Rattus norvegicus: one gene and its partner. The protein of the gene in region 2 interacts with the protein of the main gene of each other region in a pairwise test. Links are inferred from orthologs where the notes say so. Each region holds a gene or a part of one and is shown on either strand. Other genes may lie near its edges.

Region 1 (5,445 bases), on a different chromosome or scaffold from region 2:
CAATGTAGGGATTGCCTATATGAGAGAATGATCATGTTACAGGAAACAGGGTTTGGACGATATGTGGGACCTGGGGAGTGAAGGGATATGCGTTTGGTTAAGACTGAGCCCAGAGCACCTCTTTAATCTCAGCACTTGGGAGGCAGAGGCAGGTGGATCTCAGGAAGTTTGAGGCTAGCCTGGCCTACCTAGTGAGCTACAGGCCAGCCAGGGCTACATAATGAGAACCTGTTTCAAAATGAGAGACAGACAAATAGATTGACTGGGCTTAGGTACCCTTCTTTCTCCTGGAGGTACAGGGACCTGGAGAGCTCAGCTCTGTGGGCAAGCCTGCCGTTGATTGCTCAATGGTCCCCTTCCAGTCCTACCATTATACATGTGATGAGAGAAATAACCAGGCCCATCTGTTCCTGTCTTAGGAAAGACAGCTGCCGAGCCTCCCCCACAAATACCTCTTTGCTGGCTCCTCTCTCTCTTCCTTTGGCCCTGGCTCTAGCTCCTGTGCTTTCTCCTCAGTCCCTGTCTCCCCACAGTCTGTCCTCTGGGACCCTGGGGCCTGACCCTGCCCTCTCTCCCTTGTTCTTCCTCAGGCTTTCTCCCGTGCCTCCTCTGAGGATGGACTGTCTATTAAGGAGTATGGCCCAGATCCCAGAATTCTCCAGTTGAATAAGAGATACCTCCTAAGATTAGGAAGCCTGATGCTGGGATAGCGGGAAGTGGTGGGGGTAGGAGAGGATGGGGAGGCTTGTCTAGAAAAGCAGGACGAAGGAGGTGGGGAATGACCTGGAGAGGAATAAGGTCCTCCCTCAGATGAAGGAAAACCACCAGTCAGAGGTGATAGATGATACAGTTGGATGGACTTGGGGACAGGTTGGGGTGGTGGTGGAATACGAGTCCACTCGTGGGGAAGCACTGCTTGATTCTGGGAAGCGCAAGCTAGGTTCCTGACCCTGGGAACTGAAGGAAGAGGAGAGACCTCAGAAGGGAAATAGGAATACAGCCAGAGTGAAAGGAAGGAGGTGCTGTGGGTCCTAGGTAGGGGAGGATCGGTATCCTTTTCAAAGACGAGCCCTCATCCTACAGCGGCCCATCCGGCTCACCACTGGTACAGGCCCGAGGCTCAGCCTCTACCCTTCACTAGCCCGAGGCTCTGGTCTTGGGATGGACACCACCTCCAGGGGTGGCCGCAAGGAGTGTGTGTGGGGGTGTCGAGGCCCGCCTCTCCTCCCCCTCTTTGCGCCCCCTGGTTCCTCCCTTCCCCCTACTCACTCCGCTCCCCCCTCCTCCAGTCCCTCCCTCCTCCCCTGCCGGGTCCCAGCCTGTCCCCCTCCCCCACTCGCGATCCGGCCGCTGCTGCTGGGCCGGACCCCCCGGGCTCAGCCGGGCTCCTTGTGGAGCCGCCGCCGCGCCCCGTTTGCTGAAGAGGAGGCCCCGGGCCGGGACGCCTGGCGCGGGCATAAAACGGGCCAGAGCCGGCGCCTAGGGCACTAGAGTGGCGTACGGCCCGGGTCAGCGCCCCTCCGCCCGCTCTCTCCCGCCCCGCCCGGCCGGGAGCGGACTAGGCGACTGCGAGACGAGCCCCTCGCCACTGCCCCCCTCCTGGCCCCGGCCCCCTCTTGCCGGCCCGCCTCCGGTCCGGCCCTACTCCCTCTCCTGCTCCCTCCTCCCGCCCGCCTCCCCAGCTGTCTGCTCCGCGTCATGCCGAGCCTCCCGGCCCCGCCGGCCCCTCGGCTGCTCCTCGGGCTGCTGCTGCTCGGCTCGCGGCCGGCCGGTGGCACTGGCCCTGAGGCCCCCGCACTGCCCATCCGTTCCGAGAAGGAGCCACTGCCTGTCCGGGGAGCGGCAGGTAGGTGGGCGCCAGGGGGAGACGCGGGAGGGGAGAGTCTGGCTCGGGCAAGTCTACATCCACAGGGAGAGGGCCCCGGGCGCAGGTGGCTTCGCGCAGCGGGAGGGTGGGTGGGGAAAGCAGAGGCGGCGAGGTGCGCGGTGCCAGGGGACCAAGGGCCTGGTGGGCAGAGCCCGGAGTAGGCATTACGGCAGGAGCAACCGGACAGCGGCCGCCAGCCAAGCCCGTCCCCGCAGGCTGCTCCTTCGGCGGGAAGGTCTATGCCTTGGACGAGACGTGGCACCCGGACCTGGGGGAGCCTTTTGGGGTGATGCGCTGTGTGCTGTGCGCCTGCGAAGCGGTGAGTGGATATCGCAGCTGCTCGTCCTACCCTAGAGGGTAGCGGAACGCTGGCGTCCTATGCCGTAGTAGACTCAGAGATGCTCTGGGGAAGGCTGGTTCGCAAATCAGAGGAAACCCCTTTCAAGTCTGCGGTGTTGACAGTTATTGATCGCCCACAATGTGACTGGCTTTTAGCCAACTTTCCCCCTCCCGTTACAGCTTTGCTAGATAAATGGCATTATTAGCTCTACTTTGCAGACAGGGACGCCAACGCTAGAGGAGTTAAGAAACTTGTCCAGGGCCATGTAACTTGTAAATAGCAGAGTCGACCGACTCCAGCAGAGTGTCTAACCCTGGGGTCTGATGGTTGCATTCTCTTAATTTTCCTATGTTCTCTGCCATCAGCCTCAGTGGGCTCGCCGTGGGAGGGGCCCTGGCAGGGTCAGCTGCAAGAACATCAAACCTCAGTGCCCCACCCTGGCCTGCAGGCAGCCGCGCCAGCTGCCAGGACACTGCTGCCAGACCTGCCCGCAGGGTGAGGCCGCTGTGCCCCGAGTTAGGGAGGGTGGAAGGCTCTAACACTAGGTCCTGTGCCGCTTGGATCGCGGAGGAGGAGTGGTCCTCCTTGTACCTTGCTGAAGCCGGTGGTCTCATTCCTTATCCCGGATGCAGAGCGCAGCAATCTAGATCCACAGCCGGCTGGCCTGGTCTTCGAGTATCCAAGGGACCCAGAGCATCGCAGTTATAGCGATCGAGGGGAACCCGGCACTGGGGAGCGGACACGTGGTGATGGCCACACGGGTAGGCTGGGACGGAGGTGGGCCTGATGAAATTTGAGTTCCCAGCAAGGCTGACAGTGCTCAGGACAATCTTTTCTTCTCGAAGACTTTGTGGCGTTGCTGACTGGACCGAGGACGCAGGCGGTAGCTCGTGCTCGAGTCTCTTTGCTGCGCTCAAGTTTACGCTTCTCTATCTCCTACCAGCGGTGAGACAAGGGAAAGGGGAAAGACCAGGAGTTGTAAAGGGGGCAAGAAAGAGGAGCCTGTAGGTTATAGATCCAGTCTCACTGGACCTCTCTTCACAGGCTGGACCGTCCCAGCAGGGTTCGGTTCACAGACCCCACAGGCAACATCCTGTTTGAACACCCTGCTGCCCCCACCCAAGATGGCCTGGTGAGATGATGCCATTTAAGAGTGCTTATCCAAAACGGGCACTTGCCGAGAGCATGCTTTGCATTGCCTCCTTTGGTTCTCACAACAGCCCAGTGGGAGAAAGGCCCTGACATTATGATGCCCATTTTACAGAGGAGGGAACTGAGGCTCAGAATAGCAGAATGTGATTTGTTCAAGGTCATTGGCTAGTAAGTGGTAAGCCAGGACTTAACATTAAGGCTCCTGGGTCCTTCTTAGAGGGTCTGGGGTCCCCCTTCCATACTCCTTCCTCATTAGGCCTGGGTCTTTTAGCTGGCTTGTTCTGCATACTTACGGTAGACTTTCTTCCCTCTTCTCTCTAGGTCTGTGGGGTGTGGCGGGCAGTGCCTCGGCTGTCTGTGAGGCTCCTGAGGGCAGAGCAGCTGCGTGTTGCCCTTGTGACACCCACTCACCCTTCAGAAGAAGTCTGGGGGCCTCTCATTTGGCAGGGTGCTCTCACTGCAGGTAGGGGGGGGGAGTGAGCAGTTCTTAGATGTCAAGAGCTGCACCTTCAATAGCCCAGGGGTCGGTGGACTGAAGAGAGGATTTCTCATGGCTGTCATGGTCCTCCACTCCCCAGAGACCTTCAGTGCCATCCTGACCCTGGAGGACCCACTGCAGCGGGGTGTCGGGGGCATAGCCCTGCTCACTCTCAGTGACACAGAAGATGCCTTACATTTTTTGCTGCTCTTCCGGGGTCTGCTGGGAGGTGAGTAATGGGGAAGATGTACGTACATGAGGGTGTTAGGGAGGGTGCTCACCTCTCAGAAATGCTCACACAAGCGGCACTTGCAGGACTAGCTCACGTCCCCTTGAAGCTTCAGATTCTCCACCAGGGACAGCTACTTCGAGAGCTCCAGGCCAATGCCTCAGCTCAGGTAAGGGAAGGCCTGCATCTCGTTGCTACTTCCTCTGACCTCTTGCTGTTGCCCACCACATTCTGCTCTGCTCACAGGAGCCAGGTTTTGCTGAGGTGCTGCCCAGCCTTACAGACCAAGAGATGGACTGGTTGGTGCTGGGGGAGCTGCAGATGGTCCTAGAGAAGATGGGTGGGCCAGAGCTACGCATCAGCGGGTATATCACGACCAGGCAGAGCTGTGATGGTGAGGAAGGGCGGGGCCTGGCACTGTGGTACAAGTAACTCAGAGGCACGAACATGTGCTAAAGAAGAGGCCAAATAGATACGAGAGAGTTCTTGGGGACCTGGGTGTGGGCAAACCTGTTGCCACCTGTCTTGTCCCCTGCAGTCCTTCAAAGCGTCCTCTGTGGGGCTGATGCCTTGATCCCAGTCCAGACGGGTGCTGCTGGCTCAGCCAGCTTCATACTGCTAGGAAATGGCTCCCTTATCTATCAGGTAAAAGTCAGCAGCTGTAGGGGACAGGGAGGCCAGCAGGGCAGGGCCTTGACCTGCAGGGGGAAAGGCCCTAGGTCTTGGCTGTCAATCCAATTGCCCTCCCCCAACCTTGCCCACCAGGTACAAGTGATAGGTACAGGTAGCGAGGTGGTGGCCATGACGCTGGAGACCAAGCCTCAGCGGAAGAACCAGCGCACTGTCCTGTGCCACATGGCTGGACTCCAGCTGGGAGGACACATGGTGAGGGCTCCAGGCAGAGTTGTGCCAGGGCTGCCAAAACATGGGCTGCGGGAAGCCAGGTTGGTTGAGCAGAGGTGTGTAGTACTGTTCACCCGCTCGTTGGTTCTCTCGGCGAGTCCTTTGTTCATTTGACACGTTTTAGTAAGCCTTAGGCTGGAACCCTTGTTCTCGGCAAGCTAACAGTTAAATAGGGAGCGCCACTCCTGGGAACAGCGAGATAGCCTGTGCGATAGTACTAACCGTGCCTTTGGTGTCTTTCTGTCAGGCATGAATGTGGTTGGCTTCTTTATGTACCGTGACTTTCGCAGTACCCTTTGATAGATGCGAAGCGAAGGCTCGCAGACGAGTAACTCTTCAAGGGTTGTGGTGTGTCTAGGATGTGGCACAGGAGGGCCTTGACACTCGACCTGCAAAGTTCTTGTCCAGTGTTGAGGAAGGATACATGTGCAGTGCAGGCATAAAACATGGAAAGCCCTTGGACCTGAAAGTGAGAG
Region 2 (5,773 bases):
AATGCTCAGCTCCCCTTGTCAGGATTAGATTCCCAAATTACAGGCAAAGAACCTTACCTTAGTCAAAGACTTGCTGCAGGTTCCAGCTCACTCTCAGACTGAAAAGTTGAGCAGCTGGTGAACAAAAGTTTTAGGTTCTTTTTTTATTCCCTAACGAAGTCTGCAAAACTAATTTCCCTCAAAATAGGGCTCAATTTCCGTTAAAGAAAGCAGTGCTTACAAATCTTGGAACTCCTGATCAACCCCCACTCCACCCCATCTCTAAGTAGTGAAAAACAATTCGACTTTTCACACGGTTGTTAAAGTTTGTTTGGAAGTCCCTTTTCTGGAGAACCTCTTAAAATAAAGGACAACAGACTGAAGATTCCAGAAGGGCCGGCAGAGGGAAAGGCTCTGCCTTGGGGACACACCTCCCAAATTAATCAATACCTTTTCCTAATTTAAGCCAGATGTCTAGTTCAGGTTGCTGTACTCATTAATCCCATTAGCAATTTCAAAGACTTGACCATCATCTTCTGGTCACCCAGACAATAAACATATGGCAGTTAACCGTAGTGGCACGCCCAAGCCCTGAACACAGTAGGCTACTGCAGACATCCTCCTTGTAGACACTTCACAGACAGGACCCACTTTCCTGCAGCTCATTCTCCAAAGCTTGTTGTGGGTTAAAGAGAGGACCTCTAGTAGACTCTGTGGCAGGTCAAGCAAGCTAAAGGCTGTGTCAACCGCAACCCGGCTCTCACAAATTCACCAGTGGGCAAGTTTCGTAGTTCACTTCCAGGAGCCCAGGCTGTAAACCTGGGGGAAATGAACCATCATAGCAGGGTCGACTCTGAGGAAATGTTGAGTTTGCTATCTGCTTAAAACAGAGAGGTGGCAAGGAACGAACGGAATGTATGCAAAGAGGAGCACTGTAAGCTAAAAAAAGAAATTTCATTTCTCAACGGATGGGGGACGGGGTGGTGTGTGTGTGAATTGGCTCCTGTAGGGTTAGACTAGAAAGGGTGAAGCTGGGAGCAACTTATACTTGCTCAATTGATGTTTCTTAGGGTTGTTCCTGACCCAGAAAACTTTCCCAGTGAGCGAGTGTTGAGGAAATTGAACAAACTGGGTTGTTAAAGAGACATAGGGCTGGGAGGACACGGTCAGAAACAGAAGAAAGGGGGACACCACTTGGAGTGGCACATAAATATGTGCCACCAAGGCACCAGAACTTGCATCCATCTCTGCTTAAGGCACACCCCACTGGCTACCTCTCCATTCCGCACTCAGAGTAGCTCTGTGCTATCCTTGGTGCTCAGCCCTACAACCTCCTCTCTGGTGCGGGTTTTCTAACAATCTATCCTAAAACACCTAAAAGGGAAAAATATAATGTGCCCCTGAATGCGGGAAGTGCGAGTGGTCTTGGAGTTTGAAAAGCTAGACTGCTTCGCTCTTTTCCTTCTCTTGAACTCTAATAAGTTCTCTGTGATCTGAAAAGTCAGAGAGCGCCTGTAGGTGACTGCAACCCCCACCAAGGCTGGGAAATCTAGGTTCCAAGAACAGTGAGCGAGCACAGACACGGGGTGCTGGCTTAGCATAGTCGAGTGCTTCTGTGTCTGGCCACGGGAATCTATGGGATAGATCGCGGTGGTGTCCCTGAGCTACTGAGGCTCTGGGCGCTCCACTAACTGTTGTGGAAGCTCCCAGGACCCGACGGGCGTGGGGCAGCCGCTCCTGTCCTGCCAGCAATTGGGAACTGGAAATGAGAGAGTACGGTGGCGCTGACTGAGCGGGAGTTTTGGAGGGAGTTTGCATGTGGTCAGCGCTGGGCTCCTAAGCCAGCCCCCAGCTCACATTACACTCTATTTATAACCTCTCAGAGCCATTTCCCCCCCTGAAAGCAGTTCTCTGGGACCACCTTCTTTTGGCTTCCACCTCTCCCACACTTGACATCTGAGCAGCTGCAAGGGAAGCTCCTCCAGGTCCTAGTGTTTATACGTGCAGGAGACTGGCCGCTCGGCTCAGGACTGGGATTAGCGGGCTCTGCTCAAACCCGCGCGGCTTTTACATTAGGAGTGAGTGGGGGAGAGTCCTAGGATTTCTAGTGAAAAGTGACAGCGCTTGGTGGACTTTGGGACCTTCGTGAAGTCTTCTGCTTGGAAGCTGAGACTTGCATGCCATGGAACACCCCCTCTTTGGCTGCCTGCGCAGCCCCCACGCCACAGCGCAAGGCTTGCACCCCTTCTCGCAGTCTTCTCTGGCCCTCCATGGAAGATCTGACCACATGTCCTACCCCGAACTCTCCACATCTTCCTCGTCTTGCATAATCGCGGGATACCCCAATGAGGAGGGCATGTTTGCCAGCCAGCATCACAGGGGGCACCACCACCACCACCACCACCACCATCACCACCACCAGCAGCAGCAGCACCAGGCTCTGCAAAGCAACTGGCACCTCCCGCAGATGTCCTCCCCGCCAAGCGCGGCCCGGCACAGCCTTTGCCTGCAGCCTGATTCCGGAGGGCCCCCGGAGCTGGGGAGCAGCCCTCCGGTCCTGTGCTCCAACTCTTCTAGCCTGGGCTCCAGCACCCCGACCGGAGCCGCGTGCGCACCAGGGGATTATGGCCGTCAAGCGCTGTCACCCGCAGAAGTGGAGAAGAGAAGTGGCAGCAAAAGAAAAAGCGACAGTTCAGGTGAGTGTCGGCAAAACAATCCTGGGGAGAGTGCGCTCTGGGCTAGGAAGATGCAGGGGAGGTAGGGATGGTTCTTGTAGAAAGACAAACTAAGAAGCAGCTAGCGTTTCCTCTCTCTGGTGGCCGAATTCATCTATGCAGGGTCGGCCCTGTAATTCAGGAGCACGTGTTTCACTGAAGTTAATATATCTACATCCAGCCGTTCAAAGCCCCCCAAGATCGCAAATCAGTTTTCCAGAAGCGTTGAAGAAAGAGCAAGTGACACTATGCGAAATCGGTTAAGGAGCGTGGCGGTCCATCCACTGGTTGGGCGGGGTGTGCTCTTTGGGATGCTGCATCCTCTGGGCGTGCGTGCATGTCTCTGTGTGTGCGTGCATGCGGTTCTCTTTGACTTTTTCTTTCCAATTCCCAACTCTGAACAGCTAGACTTTTCCTATCATTAGCTTGGTTTCCACATTATTGCACAATATCTTGAACTTTAACTGGATTTGACAAAATACGCAAAAATAGAAAAGAAAAAAGAAAAAAAAAGAAAGAAAAAGAAACCCAAAACTTTTTATTTACATTTTATTTTCAGAGTTCCTTAAATAGCATTTACTTAAAATGATATTTAAAAAGCATTCTATTCATTTGGCGAAAAAGACATTATCCAGTAATCTAGAAGTGTTTAAGGAATACATCTGAAAATTGCGAATAAATAGATAAGGGCTTGACGAAAGGGTATTCTTATAGTGATTACACTCATGTGGTGCTAACATAGGATAAAACAAAACAAGCAAAAAAAAATCAATCAGCCAACTAAAGGAAACAAAACTTTTGAATTTCAAGAGTGGAAAATAAAAGCCTTCACCAATTGAGTACTGCTTGGAGGTGCAGCGAAGAGAGCTGACAGACAACAGCTCTGACAGCGCTGGAAGAAGATACAGAGAAAGTGTGGGTAACCTGAGCAGCCCAACAAAAGGGGAGCCTCCCAGAAGAATTCAGGGGCCTGAAAGTTCAATAGCCAGTACATCCCGGCAGCCCAGTAAAACTGAAAATTTCCAGGAAGCACAACAAAGCCCTTAACTATATTCCTCATTGTAAAGATGTTTACTTTCTTCCTTTCTTCTTTCCTTCCTACCTATCTTTCCTCTTTCCGTTTTCCCTTCTTTCTTTCTGTTCTTTCTTTCTTCCATTGAATCTTCCCTGTAGTTACAAGGCAACCTGGATACAGATTTTGGAAGACATCACTTAACTAGCACAGTGTTTGCATTTATTTAATTTTCTGTGTTAGCGACTTGAAAGTTAGAACATACAATTTGAGGCATTAGTTTGAAGAATTGAAAAAAAATCGCATTTGCAGTGTAGGACAGTAAGGGCTGTGTATTTTGTAAGGGGTTGAAAGATGATAGAAACTTTTCTTGACCCCAGTGTGGGCTGACTGCTTCCTTCCCAGCCGCGTTGAACCTGCGATTTTCTAGGTCCAGGGTGAACTTTTAATGCTCCATCATGATTAGTTATGTCTAAGAATGTTACCACACTGTCATTTTGTTTAGCGGTTATTGCTGAATGTGCGTGAAATCCTAAGACACTGAGAAGGTTCCTAAGAAGGCATTAGAATCCGCTGGGTTTCCTCAGATTGGGCTTCATGAGCACAAATGCTCCATTTGCTTCTGCAGGTTGGTAGTTACCTCAGGAAGGACCAGAAGCCCCATTCCCTGTTTTCTTTCTGCAAGGGGGAAACTGACCTACTTCTGAGCTGAACCAATGCCCTAAAGATTATTTGCGCACACGAAGGAATTTTTGTTCAGGCACAAGTTATTTTTGGGTGGGGAAACAGGGAAAGTGAGATGCCAAGCTCTTCCCAATTTGTTTTACTATTTAATATAACGGTCTTAATTCAACGTTATTTAATATAATGGTCTTAATACTGACTAGCAGTGGTTTTCATCACCTTTACCAGGGGCAAGTAAGCACACAGCAACGCCAAGCTTGTTTTAGCATGGTGAAACTCGTTTAAACACCAAAACAAGTAAAGAGAATAAACATTTGTGCCAACCACCCAGTGTATTAATACGTTACAAAGATGGGAAATATAATCAATAGGAAGGATAATGTCACTGGGGTTGACTGAGAATGAATGTTCCCATTGATAGACTACCGAAGTCAAGCATCAATTTTCTTGGTACACTATTGAAGATCAAATCTATGTCCTCAGACTCTGAGTTAAAATCAATTAGATCACAGGTATGCTTAACTCCAAGCCATTCTTGGTCCTATTCCAATTTATACAGCAAACATTCAATTCAAGGTCAAATCATTTCATAGTATTGTGAAAACAGTTTGACTTACGAGACATCAAAGTAACAGAAAAACAGCTACCATCCTGTTCTGTTATCAATATATGAGCCTTGGCACAGTTGGCTATTGCATCACTTCATAATTAATTAATGTTCAATAAATTATATTGGACAATCTGAGACTATATTATATAAAAATTAAATCATGCATAGTAGCAACTATTTATTTATTTAAGCATTTTATAATCACTATGTATTTATCGTTGGCACTATAGACAGGGCCTTAATCTATGGCAGTATTGGAAACAAGTATCTATACACCTGAATCTAATACCAGTGTATGTGTGATAACTGCATTAATTTCTAATAAGCAACAGAAAGTAATGTTAAACAACCAAGTCATGTGTAAACATTACACTTTTATCCACAGTAATACTGCAACAATTTCAATGTAAAATACTGTCCAGTATTTCTGCTCTGAAAACCCACATGAAAGCAGACCTGTACAAATCCAGAAAGCTTACCAGTAGAGAAGCAGAGGTTTATAGACTTTAGACTTCCATTATAGTTAATTAACAATTAAAAATAGCCAGTTTCAAGAGAAAATTATGACATTTTCATAGTATGTGCTAAACATTTTTATAACCTTGAGCCGGCTACCCTTTCCAGCAATGTTAGTAAAGCCAACATCTGCCACTCCTTCAAAGGGACTCTTAAAGTTACAACTGTGCTTAAAACAATCAGTGTGACCCAGGTGATTCTGAAAAATGTCTATAAATGCGGTGAACTTCTTGGCTTCAATTACACAAAGCAATATAT

The links. The genes of interacting proteins can lie anywhere in the genome.
Region 1: the proteins of Meox2 (region 2) and Chrd interact in binary tests that used the Homo sapiens proteins (3 or more experiments, as listed by UniProt). The two-hybrid records come from large-scale screens. The link is inferred for Rattus norvegicus from reciprocal best matches to the Homo sapiens genes MEOX2 and CHRD.

Annotation. Positions count from the first base shown.
Region 1 is NC_086029.1:93,681,333-93,686,777, reverse strand, and holds the start of Chrd (chordin precursor), read left to right. Parts: upstream 1-1,677; 5' UTR 1,678-1,698; coding exon 1,699-1,846; intron 1,847-1,968; exon of another isoform or gene 1,969-2,016; coding exon of another isoform or gene 2,017-2,082; coding exon 2,083-2,186; intron 2,187-2,572; coding exon 2,573-2,702; intron 2,703-2,839; coding exon 2,840-2,968; intron 2,969-3,052; coding exon 3,053-3,152; intron 3,153-3,251; coding exon 3,252-3,339; intron 3,340-3,680; coding exon 3,681-3,822; intron 3,823-3,937; coding exon 3,938-4,066; intron 4,067-4,152; coding exon 4,153-4,235; intron 4,236-4,312; coding exon 4,313-4,460; intron 4,461-4,604; coding exon 4,605-4,711; intron 4,712-4,831; coding exon 4,832-4,951; coding exon of another isoform or gene 4,952-5,010; intron 5,011-5,445. UniProt on the Homo sapiens protein: Dorsalizing factor. Key developmental protein that dorsalizes early vertebrate embryonic tissues by binding to ventralizing TGF-beta family bone morphogenetic proteins (BMPs) and sequestering them in latent complexes.
Region 2 is NC_086024.1:59,582,056-59,587,828, forward strand, and holds the start of Meox2 (homeobox protein MOX-2), read left to right. Parts: upstream 1-1,969; 5' UTR 1,970-2,161; coding exon 2,162-2,675; intron 2,676-5,773. UniProt on the Homo sapiens protein: Mesodermal transcription factor that plays a key role in somitogenesis and somitogenesis and limb muscle differentiation. Required during limb development for normal appendicular muscle formation and for the normal regulation of myogenic genes.